2 linked regions of the Pelodiscus sinensis genome follow. The protein of the gene in region 1 interacts with the protein of each later gene in a pairwise test. Links are inferred from orthologs where the notes say so. Each region holds a gene or a part of one and is shown in the gene's direction. Other genes may lie near its edges.

Region 1 (7,858 bases):
TTAGGCTGTGTCTAGATTGCATACCTTTTCCGTAAACGGGATGCAAATTAGACACATCGCAATTGCAAATGAAGGGGGGATTTAAATCTTCCTTGCTTCATTTGCATAAATATGACTGACGTTTTTTTCCGGCTCGAGGCTTTGCCGGAAAAAAGCGCCAGTCTAGATGGGGATCTTTCAGAAAATAAAGCCTTTTCCGAAAGATCCCTTATTCCTCTTAAAATAAGGAATAAGGGATCTTTCGGAAAAGGCTTTATTTTCCGAAAGATCCCGTCTAGATTGGCGCTTTTTTCCGGCAAAGCCCCGAGCCGGAAAAAAGCGGCAGCCATGTTTATGCAAATGAAGCGGGGAAGATTTAAATCCCCGCTTCATTTGCAATTGCGATGTGTCTAATTTGCATCCCTTTTATGGAAAAGGGATGCAATCTAGACACAGTCTTATTGTTTTCACACACAAACTTCAGGGGTCATCCTTTGAGAATTGAAATTTGGTGATGTTTAGATAATCCAGGAAAGCAGACATTGTCAAATGAGTGGGTGTGAGAAACGGATAAATATTTCAGGTTTCCAAGAAACTATACACACTGTTTCACTGCCTTAGTATAGTCTAAGAATTTTCTTTTAACATAGCATTCCATGGAGAGACAGAGTAGTCATCGGCACATCTGTAATATACCTATAAATTGCTTGCTCTCATCCCATTAGAAAAAACAATGGTAGCACTTTGGTAAACAGCTTATCTGATTACTGAGTCACTCTTTTTATTAAAATGGCAATGTTTCTGCTAAAAATCCTGAAAGGATGTTCTTGAATAGAATACGAGAACTCTTAAGCAGAGAGAATTAAGTTATTCATGCTATTTCAAACACCCTAAGTCATCTCTAGACAATTTCACTCATGCATTTTTGCTGCAGTTCCCAAGCAGAATTGAACACCAATCTTCCATGATAGTTCATATATAAATAATACACATGAGCATGGACTTTAATTTACAGGCACATGACATTCTGATATTTTAATCCAATAGCACCTTCAGTTTGGAATCTCTCTACATCATTAAGGTCACAACACAGTTCCCATTGCAAACCCCTTTTTTCATCTCCTTTATAACATACAGCTAAAGACATTACCATGTGTTAGCTTAACACGAGGCAAACTTAAACATGATTCATACATGAGAAGCAGAAAGAAAAGCAACTAATGAGGGAGTATGAACGTATAAATTAAAGTAATGCCCTTACATACTCTTATTCCTTGCAGCCTTTCTGTGTGTACATAGCCCCAGATTAGATTCCATTGGACCCACTAACCAATAACATCAAGAACTTAACACTTGGCCTCTTAATTTTAGTCATTTAGTGTTATCATTATGGGGCAGTAAACATATTTGCATTTGATAATACAGAATTACTTTGTTCCTCATATGGAAGTTGAGTGACGAATAAACAGTGGTACAAGTATGCCATACTAGCAAAATATTTTTAGCCAGCATAGCAAACCAGAAAGACTCCCTGCTGACCAACCCCGACCCCTCCACTGGCTGTGTGCGTACAATTCTGCAATCTGGGGGGCAGGGCTGAGAATGCTTTGGCAGCCAAAGGAGCTGCCAGCATTCTGCTCCTTCCCCACTGCTCCTCCTGATGTAATTCCGAAATAACATAGTTCGTGCCTACACAGCAGGCAGTTATTTTGACAATGTCAAAATACTGTGAAGCTGGAGGACTTCTTACTACAACTCCGGTAACTCTCATTATACTAGGAATAAGGGAAGTTGGAAGACGAGTGCTCTAACTTGGACTAAGGATTTTAGTCCAAGTATTAAGTATTGGACTAATCGAATAGTCGATGAAAAAATGCATCGACTATTCAATTAGTCAATAGGGCGGCGCTGCCCCTTTGAAACGCTGCTGTGGCATTTCAAACGGGCAGAGCCCAGGGTCAGCTGAGGAGTCCAGATCATTTGTGCGGCACTACCCCAGATTTCCTCCCGTTGTTGCCTCTATCTAATGAAGGCAGCAAGGGGGAGGAAGCGACTAATTGATTATCCTGTTGACTATCTGATAAGCAAATGCAATGACTCTTTAACATCCTTAAATTAGCTTCCTGCCGAAATAAGCTGTTTCAACTTCAGCTACGCAATTGACATAGCTCAAGTTGCGTTGCTTATTCCAGCTTTAGCCCTGTTGTGTTGACATGCCCTACCTGTGTTTAAAATAGACTGGCAAATTTCACTATTTTTTGTGAGATGAAGAAAAGGGGAAAGAACAATTTCCCCTTCATTTTAAAATGTTTGTACTGGGAACATTGGGACGGGAAATGGTAGAAAATTGAGGCAAATAAGGTAAATGCCTAATTTTAGATATTTAATAAAGGAATATAGAAAAGAAAGAGGAAGTAGCTTTTGTTTCCTACTATGACTCACAAAACAAATGGGTCAGCATATGGGTGACCAGAAAGCTAATGTAGGTGAGGCAACAAATACTTACGATGATTCAGAAGGAAACATTGCTCTCTTTGAGTCATTGGTAAATCAAGACCATAGTAAATCAAGATGCATCTGAGGAAGTGGGTCGTTGCCCACAAAAGCTTATGCTCCAATAAATCTGTTAATCTATAAAGTGCCACAGGACTTCTCGTTGTTTTTCCAGATTCGGACTAACACAGCTACCCCTCTGATACTCAAGACCATAGTGTAATGACAAAAGTTAAACACAAAGTTTAAAGAGAAGCTAGATAATTTCATGGAGGTTAGGTCCATAAAAGGCTATTAGCCAGGGGATAGAAATGGTGTCCCTGGCCTGTTTGTTAGAGGCTAGAGATGGATGGCATGAGACAAATCGCTTGATCATTGTATTCGGTCCACCCCCTCTGGGGCACCTGGCGCTGGCCACTGTTGGCAGACAGGCTTCTGGGCTAGATGGACCTTTGTCTGACCCAGTACGGCCGTCCTTATGTTCTAGGGTGATAGACCTGGTGTCCAGGCAAACTTCCAGCTCTAATAACTAAATTCCACATCTCTATAGACTCCTTCTAGTTTCAATGGGATATTTCATTCTAAACTATTGTGAATGGTGCTAGGTGCTATTAAGCAAGGTCATTGTTCACAAAGATGAGTGAAATGTTTCCTAAGTATCCTTTACCTTCCTCACAGAAGTGTTGTGTGGTTTGGTTAGGTTATGTAACATGTTGAGATTCCTGAATAGAAGGCGCTATGGAAAAGTTGGATAATATATGTCATGAGTCCAGGGATTCAATTTTAATCATTTTGTTGGTCAATGTAAGGTGTTGCCTGCTGTGCAAGGAGATGTTGTAATTAAAACCCCATTAGGACTATGACAATCAAATTAACCTGCTGGCTATCTTCCATCCTCCCTGACTGGGCTGGAGAGAAAGGGTCTAGACAATAGGTCACTGAACTACTCAGGCTAGTAGAAAGGTCCATCATCACCAGTGTACAAGAAAAATAAATAGGCTGAGGTTAGAGAGGGAACAAGCTCAGGAGGGAATCACAGGCCTGCACTATACCTAAAACTTGGATCTATCTACCTAAATGCCAAATGGCCAAATAAGCTATTTCAAAAGAGCATCAAAATAAGATATACAACCTGCATAGCTCAAATTGCATATCTTGTTTCAAGTTACGGTGCCGTGTAGACACACCTTACAGCAGCAGGACAAGCCTGTAATGTATATACCAGGGGTGGGCAATAATTTTTTTCCGGGGGACACTTCAGAAATTTTTGAACTAGTCCCAGGCTGCCCCAGAAGGGGTGGGGCCTCTGGCAGAAGGGGCAAGGCCAGGACCCTTCTGAGTTTCCCCACCCACAGACCCTGATGGGTCAGGGGAGGCACGCACACTCTAGGGACCCATGACCCTGGCTGTAGGAGGCAACTTTGCATGCTTCCCCCCACCCCCCAGGAAGTCTCTTGCTCCCTGTCCCAGTCCTGCAAGGGAGTGCAGCAGTTAAGAGTCAACCACCAGCTGAGCAGCAGCTGATGGTTGACTTTAAGTCCTGAGCCCCTTGCAGGGCAGGAGACTTCACTGCTCCCCCACCCCCAAACCTTGATAGGCCTGGAGGTGGGGGGAGCAAGTGAAGTTCCTGCCCCCATCCTGCAAGGTGCATGCAGTACTTAAAAGCTGCACCCCTCGCAGAGTGGAAGGAGACTCCATCTGCTTCCCCCTCTCCCCCAGACCCTGAGTGGCCTGGGGGCAGTGATGAGGGCCTCCACGGCCAGTTCAACTTCCTTGGTGGGCTGAGTCCAGCCTGCAGAGGCCCCTTTGCCTACCCCTTGTATATACTGACACAATTAGGTCAATGTTAAGCTGCTTTTGATCAACCTGAGTAATGCAGACCAGTTCCTGGATAGTCTTCCATTCAACCCCCTTTCTTTTGAAAAAGGATTTCTCCTGCTCTCTGGCTATGATGATTCACGGTTATGCAGAGCGGGGAAAGGCCAGCCAGAGTGTCTCGGTCTGTGCCCAGCCACGCTGATGGGTCATGATCTGTCTGTTCCCGGGTTTGTACAATGGGAAGCGCGGCTGCCCCCTGCCTGGCTGGACTGCGGAGCGGAATGTTGCAGCCCAGACTCTGGGCAGCGCGCGAGAGCTGCGCAAACACGCGCGCGCGTGCGCGCGCTCGCACAGCAACGTCCGGCTCGCAGGGTGAGCGTCCCGCTCGGCCCCTCACGCGCTTGCACGGGAGAGCGGGCCTAGGCGCGTGGGCTGCCAGAACCACCTCGCGCAGCCGCGCTGGGCGCACTCGCGCGCTCACACGGTGCTCATGGCCGTGGGGGGGAGGGGGGGAGTAATTGGGTTTTGGACGCAAAAAGGGCGGGGCGGGGCGAGCGCTCGCTGGCAACGCCCTGTTGTCATAGTTACTTCTCCCCGACACACCCCCAGCCCAGGCTTATCAAAGCCCGTGGGAGGCCGGGGCGCGGGTATCGCAGCCTCAGCCTCGATCTCGGTGCTGAGCAGAAAGGCGACGCCAACGGCCGCGACTTTTAAGCCTCGAGTGCGCCCTTACTAAAGATGGCGGCCGACCCCCCCCCCCCCCCGCCGCCGTTGCCGCAAGCGGGTTGAAGGCAGGCAGCCCTCTCTTAAGATGGCCGCCGTTTCCTTACACCCTCCGCCCATGCGGTGAGTTGGGGGGGGGGGTGTAAAACAGGCCTCCCTTAGCAAAGATGGCTGCTGTTCCCACGAGGCTTCCAAAGGGTGTGAGGGTAGCCTGCCCTGAGTCAAAATGGCCGCGCGCCGTGCTCGAGGTGCGGCGCGAGGAAGGGTAGCTGGCCGCTAGCCCGGCCAGGAAAGCGGTGAGCCGGGGCGGGGGCAGCAGGTTTGAGCGAGGAGGGGCTGGAGGGAGCGAAAGGTCACTTCCGTCGCCTGCCAGGCTGGCTTCTTGCGTTGTCCCAGAAGCAGCCTGGGGATCGGGGCCCTGGACTGGGATTCGTGTTTCTGTCCTTCAGGTGTTGCCCAGGGGTCACGGCTGCTTATTGTTTGGGGTGTCTGGACCCTGTGTCACAGTGCGCTCGGGGGGGGGGGGAGGGGAGGAGTTTGTTTTTGCGCGGCAAGGTCTAATTTTTGCTGATTCGAGAGGGAATGGAATTGTGTCACCCGTCTCTGAGGGGTAGTCGTGTTCCTCTAACACTGGGTAGGTTTGTGGCGCTTTAGTATCTATAGTATCATGAGCTTTCCTGGGCAAAACCCACTTGGTCAGACGGTTCTTGTGACGTAGGGGGGGTACTTGCTGGGCTGTGGTGACCTCTGCTGTCTGGAGCAAGACCCAGCAGGGGAAACCTCACTATGCAAAGGTGATGCCAAACCGGTTGAACCATGGAGAGGAACAAAGGAAGGTGGAGGCTGCCCTGGCTGGGGGGCAGGGCTGGAAGAGAGTGAGTTTAGTTGCTGTCTGGGAGCATGGAGGAGACAGCCTAGGGAAAGGGGCTAGAGTTTAGGGGCCCAGTCTCCCCCCATCTCAAGGGGGCCTGAGGCATCCTAGCCCAGCTCTGGGACCAGATTACATCTGTGCTGTGCTGTATCCTGGAGAGGCAATAAACGTCCTCTATTCCACCGGCTGGTGCAGTCTGTTTGTGCCATTTCGGGGTGCAGGAGACGGGGGACCCCCCCAACGCGCCGTCACAGTTCTTATCTGGCCAAATGGGTTTTCCCAGGAAAGCTCATGATACTATATACATATTTGTGTTAAAGTGCCATGGGACCTACTCGGTTTTGTTGTATCATTAGGTATTTCATAGACACAGTGCTGGGTACAAAGTGATTCTGTTCTAGCCCCAGTTTCCACTATGATTTTCACATTGATTATTCAGTGAATAGTATTGTTTCAAATGTTCTATGCTGCAAATTTAATAAATCAATGGCAAGTAGCATCAGAAGCGCCCCCACATTGGCTGTAGGCACTGTGCACTCCACGTGGACAATTCAAAGGCCTCATGATCCCTCATACAGTCCCTGTGAGCTAAACCATGGGCTCCATGACCAACTTGTGGCATTAGGTGGTCCCTGGGGACTGGCAGTGGGGAAAAACCAGACACAAATATGAGTGTTGGTGCCACCTCTAGAGAATTTTACCATGTGCTATCCTTCTAATTGCTGGTCACCAGATTCCTGAGGCCTGCCTCCCCCTGCCCCTCACCCTGTCCCTGTTGTTCCCACCTCCCCACTCTGCTCTACCTCCACCCTCCCACCCCAAAATGGGCTCCCTCTGCTCTGGAGCCAGGACAGGAGCTGCTGCAATATGACCTGTATTGGACTTATTTTCTTCCTATTTACATGCTCTTTCCATCTGCCCCTGCATATTTTTACTAGCTTTTCCCATTTTGGAAACTGCTGTAAAATTACCCAAGGACCAACAAAAGCAACAGAGGGTTAGCTGAGTTAGTTTGTAACAGGAAAAACTTCTAAAAACAACAAATAGTCTAGTAGCACTTTAAAAACTACATGTTTTGTTAGTCTTTAAAGTGCTACTAGACTATTTAAGTTTTTCCAATAAAAATAAGTCATATAGTAGTAGTGGTTTAATTAAACTGTAATATTTGGTACTCATATATCACCTTCCATTCTGTGATTTGAAAGTGCTTTACAAACATTAATTCCTTACACCCGATAATTAAGTGAGGTGGCAATATATGTATTATCTGTGTTTTCCAAATGAGGAAACTGAGGCATAAATAAATTAAATGAGAGCTTGGAGATGTATGTGACTTTGATCAAGAACCAGGATTCTTGGATCCCCAGTTTTGCTAGTCAACCACTAGACCAGAGGTGGCCAACCTGCGGCTCTTCACCCCTGCAAGTGTGGCTCACAAAGCTGCCCCATGCGCCCCTACAAATGGCCCCCAGCTGCCCAGCCTCATTTTTTGAGGAGTACAGGATCTTTCGAAAAAGGGGGTTTTTTGAAAGAACCAAGTCTAGACGGCGGTGTCACTTTTCGAAAGAACACTATGATGTGATTATGCAAATGAAGCATAGGATATTTAAATCCCCGCTTCATTTGCACTTTCGATCTGCCTAATTTACATCCCTCTTTCAAAAGAGGGATGTAGTTTAGACATAGCCTATATGTGTGTCTCAGTTATTGGAAAAAACAACCAAAAAATTGAGATGGCTGAATTTATGACCTTGTAAGGTTCTATATGAAAAACATAAAACTAGAATCTCTGATTACTGAAGTTACTTTTCCTCAAAACTTGTACTTGTAAAGCCTGTGGTTTTAACTTGATGCTCAGGAGGAAGAACGGCTCAGATTTTCACAGTACTAGTTTGTATCATATATACTGGAATCCTTATTACTGCTGCAATGTCGTGGATGCAAGCTGCAGTCATCCGGCCCAGTGAGGATGTG
Region 2 (7,534 bases), on another chromosome or scaffold:
CGCAAGAGGGTTTTTCTTGCACAAAAAGGGGCAGTGTAGACGCTCTTTCTTGTGCAAGAGCCTCTTCTGAAAAAAATGGTTGCTCGTTAGGTATGCAAATGAGGCTCGGCGATATTCCACGCTTATACTCATTTGCATATTACTCGTGCAAGAAGCTCCGAGTGTAGACATAGCCTGAATGTATATACTCTATTTGTATGCGTTTATCTTTCGTGTTCTTCTGGCACAGGCAACAGCAGACACTTGTATGTGAAGTTAGAAATATGAAGTGTAAAGCTGTTTATTAATCTAGATCTGCTAGTGAGAGCCATTAATGGTACTTAAGGAACTTGGCCCAGAGCTCACAGCAATGATCTGTGAATAGTCTTGTTGTTCCCGTAAGCCTAAACTATGGTTGATCCTATAAAGTCGTGTGACTATGCCACTTGGTTTTGGAATCCATCCTGAATTTGATATTTTTCCACTGGGGTGGATGAATGGAACAAAGATTTCCCCATCCTGTGGAAATTCTATTTAAGGAATGGGAAGCAAACAATGATGGTCTTCAGCTGGCTTCACAGAATGATCCCCATCACAAAAGGACATATGAAGAGACCTGGAAACAAAGGGAGAGAAGCAGCTGGGTCCAAGTCAGAGAAAAGATCTGCTCTGTCCTGAAGGACTTTACCTGAAATAAGGACTAGTGTGAGAAAATATGATATGTTACAATATCTCTTCGTGTATTAGTCTTAGCTGGCATGTTTTGTATATTTTGACTTAGTATCTCACTTTGATCTGTCTGTCATCACTTGCAACCACTTAAATCCTATTTTTTATACTTAATAAAATACATTTATTGTCAAGCCCAGTATAAATAATTGTTACTTGTGGAGAACAGCTGTGCATATTTCTCTTTCACTGATAAAGAGAGTGAACTCTATGAGCTTTCTCTACGTAAAACATCTCTACTGATTCCCGGCTCGTGCCCAGTCCCAGATGCTGCGACTCTGCTTTTTAAATGTATTAAGAGCTGGTTGGCAAAAGAATCTCTCAAAACTGGGTGACTAGGCAACCAAATGGTAGATGAAATGTAATGTTTATAAATGCAAAATAGTCCACATGGGAAAACATAATCCTAACTATACAAATAAAATGATGGTGTCTAAATTAGCTGTTATTACTCAAGAAAGACATCTTGGAGTCGTTGCGGATAGATCTCTGAAAACATCTACTTGATGTGCAGTGATAGTCAAAAGAGTGAACAGAATGTTGGGAATCATTAACAAAGAGATAGATAATAAAACAGAAAATATCATATTTGCTCTATATAAATCCATGGTACATCCACAGCTTGTGCATATGTGATTGCCCTATCTCAAAAAGTATATAGTGGAATTGGAAAAGGTTCAGAAAAGGACAACAAAAATGATTCGAGATATGGAATGGCTTCTATATTATGAGGAGAGATTAATAAAACTGGCACTTTTCAGCTAGGAAAAGAGACAATTAAGCGGGGATATCACTAAAGATCTATAAAATCATGACCAGTGTAGAGAAAGTAAACAGGGAAGAGCTATTTACTCCTCCTCATAACACAAAAGCTAGGGGTCACCAAATAAAATGAATAAACAGCAAGTTTAAAACAAACAAAAGGAAATATATTATCACACAATGTGCAGTCAACGTACGGAATTTTGGCCAGAGGATGTTGTGAAGGCCAAGACTATGATAGGGTTCAAAAAAGAACTAAATAAATTCGTGAAGGATAGGTCCATCAATGGCTGTAAGTGAGGATGGATAGGGATGGTGACCCTTGCCTCTGTTTCCCAGGTGCTGGGAACAAGCAACTCAGTGAATATCTGTTCTTTTCATTCTCTCTACAGCACCTTTCCTTGGTTGTCTGTGGAAAGACAGGATACTAGGCTAGATGGATCTTTGGTCTGACCCAGTATGGCCATTTTATGCTCTTGTGCACCCCAACTCTCTTGTCCCAGTGTAACTGTCACCAGATAGATTTGAACCTGGGAAGCTTAGTATAGGAGCCTCTACCCTTTCAGCTATACTGTAGAGGTCTCTTGTTTTTATTTGTTGCTGTGGTCTAGGTGCCACTTCATGGGACAGAGACCCAAACTAGGTATGTGGGTTACACCAGCTCTGAGCTCCCTTCCACACCCAAACTCCCTCTCGGAGTCCAAATCCCTACCCTAGCTCGAAACACTCCCTGCACCTACTGGTGACTGCTAAGGAGGGACTCAAGACCGCTGGCCATGTGACTGCCCCCATATGACTGCTCCCCCATGCCACTATTAGAATGGGTAGGTATGCTAAGAGATGAGTTATTGACTAATTGTGCAGTCGATACAATTTGTATCCACCACACAATATGTCTATAAGAGAAGGGCTCTGTGCTGGCTTGCACTGGTCCAGGAGCTACCCCTGCTGTAGCTCTGCAGTTTAAATGTAGTAGAAACTGGGCGTGCAGGCAGCCTGTCTCCTACTACATTTAAACTGCAGAGCCGCAGGGGAGGTAGGTCCCAGACCATTGAGAGCCAGGACTGAGCCAGATTTGCTTGGTCCTGGCTCTCACCAGGTGCAGCAGCCCCTATCTGCAGGGGGTCCAAGCAGGGTGTGGACAGGGACTGCTGCTGGAGCAGTCTCTGCCTGAGGCCAACCTGGACCGCCATGAACAGGGGCTTCTGCTGGAGCTGGTGCAAGCCAAAACCAAACAAGTCTAGCTCAGTTGTGGCTGGGGTCAGTCTGGGACCGCTGTGGCTCTTACTACATTTAAAATGTAGAGACACAATGGTCCTGGCTCTGTCCCAGCTCATGCCTGATAGAGACAGTGGCATGGGGCAAGTGGCACCACAGAGACGGTGCTGGGGGAACCAACTTTTAAGCTGGATCCCCCCAGCACTGGGTCCATTCCCCTCTCCCCTTGCTGCCTCTGATACAAAAGCAGCAGCAGGGAGGGAAGCGAGTAGTCGAATAGTTGACTACTCACTTACATCCCTACTGGGGAGGGCCCAACTTCTTCCCATCCCCATCCCACATCCACTCCATCCTTTCCCCAACCTTGTGCTCCACCCCTCCCCATCCCTGCTCCACCCTCTCTCTTCCTCTAATCCACTCTTTCCTCAAGCTCACCCTTTTCTCTCCCCCCCCCCCGCTGAACAACATGGCCCAGGGGGCAAAATGGGGGATTTGGCACCAACAGCAGCAGTCAGCTTTTGCCCTGTACTCCACAGTGGAGAAGCAATCCGACACAAGCCCACTCTGTTCCTTTGGCTCTAAGTCACATTGCTCCACTTCTCTGCCACTGGTGAGTGCAAAGGGAGGTGCCATCAGTTCAACCAAGTTCCTTTCCCAGCGACACAGCTAGGGGTCAGGGGAGCAGAGCAGGCTAGGGCTGGGTCATTCTGCTTCCCGCCACTGCCATTAAGTATTGGGGGACCCAATCGCTGCTTCCAGTGTCAGGCCCCCTGCTAATCTTCATCCCTGGGGAACAGGGCTTAAGGAAAGTGGAGGAACTGCCCTCTGCACTCACCAGCTGTGGGAAGCAGAGGGAGGTGGAGATCTGCTTCCCACCACCTGCTAGTCCCATGCACAGTGTGGAGCCCCTCAAAGTTAGATGAACTGTCTTTAGGACAGGATGTCTCTGGCTGCTGGCCCCTTGGCTCTACCCCCAGTGGCATTCAGGGGGCACACAACTGTTAGTGCCCACCCTATATCTCCCTGAGAGGAGTGGGGGGGCCTTGGAGGAGTAGGGCAGGGTTGGGTCCTTGAGGAATGGGCAAGACAGGGGGCAGGCCAAGGATGTTTGGTTTAGAATCATTAGAAAGTTGGCCACACTAGCTAGTCTTTGAGGTGGAGCTTTAAGAAGACCAACAAACATCACAAGATTTGTAATACAATTGTGAGTTGGCAAAACGGTGAACCTTTATCTATGAATGTGTCCTCCTGTGTTTGGTGTTTTTTGTAAAGCTCCAATCCCAAGAGTCATGTGACTTCATATGATATTCAGCTTTCCGGTTTGTTTTCTTTTCTTTTTTTCTAAATAAAAAGATCCCCGGGTGAGTATTTTTTTAAAAACCTGTTTGTTTTTGGATGGTGAGCTCAAGGCTTTTGAGCCGGTGGGAGGAGCAACCTGCTCCTCACATACTTCTCTCCGCAACTCCCAGCCCCGCCCCCTTCCCTGGCTCATCCCTGTCTCCCAGGCGCTTCTCCCGTCCCGGCCCCAGGCTCCTCCCCCACGTAGGCCCCGCCCCCGTCTCCCTTGCCGACGGTGCCCCAGTTCCTCTCTCTCCCCTCGCGTTGCCCCTGGTTTCCGTTGCGAAGGAAGCGGCGTCCGTGGTTGCCAAGATGGCGGCAGGGCGGCCGAGCCGCAGAGCGATGGGCGCCCCCGCCCAGCCCTGACCCAGCAGGCAGGCAGGGACCGGCATGGGGGCGGTCCGGCGGGGCTGAATGGAGCCCGGCGTGAGGGGCGCGGGGGGCGTCAGCCCCGCACAGTGGGAGCCGGGCTCTGCTGCGCCGGGCGGGTCCGGCTGGAGGAGCCTCTTTCGCCCGGCTCCGGACTGCGCGCCTCAGTGCCACGGCGGCACCTTCGCGGGCAGCGCGTGCGCGTATCCTTCGCGGGTGCAAGGCAGCGGGGCTCTGCGGGGGCAGGGCAGGCGGCACCCCCGGGAGTGTTGGAAAAGGGGGAGACAAGCCCCAGTGACAGGATGTCTGGGAAAGAAGGAGAGGAGGTGCGCGGAATGGGCCCTGGGAGGAGGGAGGCTGGGATAGGAGGGCAGGCCCCGTGGGGCAGCTCACTGGGGATGTGCAATTAGCTGTCCCACAAGGTGGCTGCCTCAGGAATAGGTGGGAGTGCCACCCCTGCATGGATCATTCAGTTGCCCTCATATTTTGATGTGGATGGGGTTGGCCCAATGGATGAGCTTATCTTCCTGAGTGGTTTTATAGGAAGAGGCATTGTTAGGGTACCCCACATACCCAGTCCCTGTGAGGGCCTCCAGTATGGTGGCAACATAGGGTTATTATTGGATTTGGAAGCTAGAAGAGATAATTTTGACCATCTTGCATCAATATATTGTAATATTACAGAAGATACATTGGCATAAAATATCCTTTTTTTAGATTTAGCCTTTTAACATCAAAGAGAATAAAAGTATCTAAAACCGTGTGGGGACTGAACTTTTTTTCTGTTTTTGGAACTCCTTTAATAAGAACAGCCATGCTGGGTCAGACCAAAATTCTAAAGGCCAGCTAAATCGACCACTGATTGCAGTCCTGTTGACTTGGGTACTCCACTGGAGTGAAAAGAGTAAAGGAAGCTAAAGGAGGAGTTTCTCCCATCGACCCCCAGTAGTGGCGATGCCTTAGAAACTTGAACTAATGTATGTTGACTCCAATTATGCTAGTCACGTTGCTGGAGTTGCATTCCTTATTTTGACATTGCCCCCAGGGTAGACCAGGCTGAAAAATTTGTTTCCCTGTTCTCTGTAAAAAAACAACATTGGTCCTGTAGCACCTTAGAGAATAACAAAAATATATAAATAGTATATGAGTTTTCGTGGGCACAACTCACTTCTTCAGATGGCATATAAGAAGTGGGTTGTACCCTAGGGATACTTATCTGGTAGTCGAGTCACTACTTGAGTACTCGCTTCCTCACTCCTCCCCTCCCTCCCCCTGCTGCCTCTGTACCAGCTCTTGTGCAAGAGGGCTTACACTTGTTAGAAAAGAGTGAGTGTAGCTCTTGTGCAAGAAGCCCTGTCTTCCAATGCTGTACTGTAAATCTTCTTGTGCAAGAGCGGGCGAGCAGTGTGGATGCTCTGCGGGTTCTTGCACAAGAATGGCAGTTCTTGTGCAAGAATCTTCCAATACAGACATAGCCAAGCAGTCCCCGCTCGCACCAGGTCCCAACTGATATGCCTCTGCCTTTGAAATGTAGCAGGAAAAGCCCGCCGGGACTTTTGTTACATTTCAAAGGCAAAAGGGCCACAGTTCCGTGCTCCGCCTCTGCCTTTTAAATGTAGTAAGAGCCACAGGCATCTCTCATTACATTTAAAATGCAGCGGTGCAGCTGGGATAGCGAGCGCCACATCTACCCCTTATTGACTAATCATGTAGTTGATGGAAATTCCATTGACTGCTCATTCCACGAGGAGTAACGGTAGTTCGAACTAGGAAGCCTAGTTCGAACAACCTAGTTCGTGCCGCGTGTAGCCGCGCGGCACGGGGTTCGAACCAGCCGGGATTTAAAAATGGCGGCGCCCGGCTTATGCAAATGAAGCCCGGGAAATTCAAATCCCGGGCTTCATTTGCAATTGCGGTATGCCTACATTACCCTGCTAGTTCAAAATAGCGGGGTAGTGTAGACATACCCTTACTTGCTTCAGGACCAGTGTTGTTTTTTTAACTGTTATTAGTTACAGACTAACACAACTACCCCTCTAAGACTCTGTATTACCTATGTGCCTAGTAATTGTATTTCTGCTGCACCTATTGCTATAATAGCTAAGCATAAGGGAAATATCTGATTAAATATTATTATGATTTATTATTATTATCAGGGCTCGACAAATTGTGTAATCTACTTGCCTATGGCGAGTAGATTACAAGCTGGCACAGCCAGCACCACTCGATCTGCCCATGTGCAGCGCAATCTGTGCATGCGCAGCTCGCAGAACCGCACGGCTGGCGAGCAGGGCTCGCCACCACTTGGTGAGCCCTGATTATTATTTATTTTTGTTAAGTGGTGGCATGTTTGGTTTTAAAAAGACAAAGAGAAACACCCAGTCTCTAAACCAAAAGAAACTAACAGACGCTGTGTTAAGACAAGGCAAATATTGGATCCTGCTTGACAGTAACTGTATATGTATGTATTTTAAGCAAGATATTGAAGAATTTTGAATTGTAATTACTCATTACATTACAGATTAAACAATTATCATTTTGGAGGTTTTAAATTTTATTTTAAGAAATATTTTCCATTTGATAACCTTGCTATTTGGTAGATCAGATCATAAAGAATGATGTATCCTCAGCTCTAAATAGAAAAACTATAATTCTGTGTGGTACCATCATAAACCAAGAGTGCAAAGCCTGAGTGATAGAAATTGAGAGATGGAATTGCATTCTTAATGTATGTATATTAAGACAGTACCTTATTTAAAATTATATCTTTATGATAAGCCATTGCCTAATTTGAAGAATTATCATTTTTAGTTTAGTTATGGATAACGATTACATATTCTCAAAAAAGTCCATAACGCTCAAGTCATGTAAAAGAATCCATGCAAATAGGTTATTATGTCCATGACGAGTATAATTTTATATCTGTGGCTAAGACTGCAAATTCATTTGCAATCAGTCTAAAACTTAATAAGAATACTAAATAGAAATTTCAAGGATTTTATATGTATATATATATTTGTCCTTAACATAAAGTCATGGTCAGAACTTTGAAATTTCTTCTTGAGAGAGATTTAGAAGAAGAGCGTGAAGCATTACTAGAGGATCAAAAAATATGTCGAAGTCGGACACGAAAACATTG

Evidence for each region.
Region 2: the proteins of YAE1 (region 1) and CEP126 interact in a two-hybrid assay, tested with the Homo sapiens proteins (2 studies listed by BioGRID and IntAct). The link is inferred for Pelodiscus sinensis from reciprocal best matches to the Homo sapiens genes YAE1 and CEP126.

Annotation. Positions count from the first base shown.
Region 1 is NC_134712.1:166,988,148-166,996,005, reverse strand, and holds the start of YAE1 (protein YAE1 homolog), read left to right. Parts: upstream 1-4,829; 5' UTR 4,830-5,136; intron 5,137-5,157; exon of another isoform or gene 5,158-5,309; intron 5,310-5,328; exon of another isoform or gene 5,329-5,462; intron 5,463-7,742; 5' UTR 7,743-7,813; coding exon 7,814-7,858. UniProt on the Homo sapiens protein: The complex LTO1:YAE1 functions as a target specific adapter that probably recruits apo-ABCE1 to the cytosolic iron-sulfur protein assembly (CIA) complex machinery. May be required for biogenesis of the large ribosomal subunit and initiation of translation.
Region 2 is NC_134711.1:304,295,935-304,303,468, forward strand, and holds the start of CEP126 (centrosomal protein of 126 kDa), read left to right. Parts: upstream 1-4,440; coding exon 4,441-4,598; intron 4,599-7,428; exon of another isoform or gene 7,429-7,430; coding exon of another isoform or gene 7,431-7,438; coding exon 7,439-7,534. Other genes in the region: ANGPTL5 (angiopoietin-related protein 5), read right to left, coding at 4,257-4,418. UniProt on the Homo sapiens protein: Participates in cytokinesis. Necessary for microtubules and mitotic spindle organization. Involved in primary cilium formation.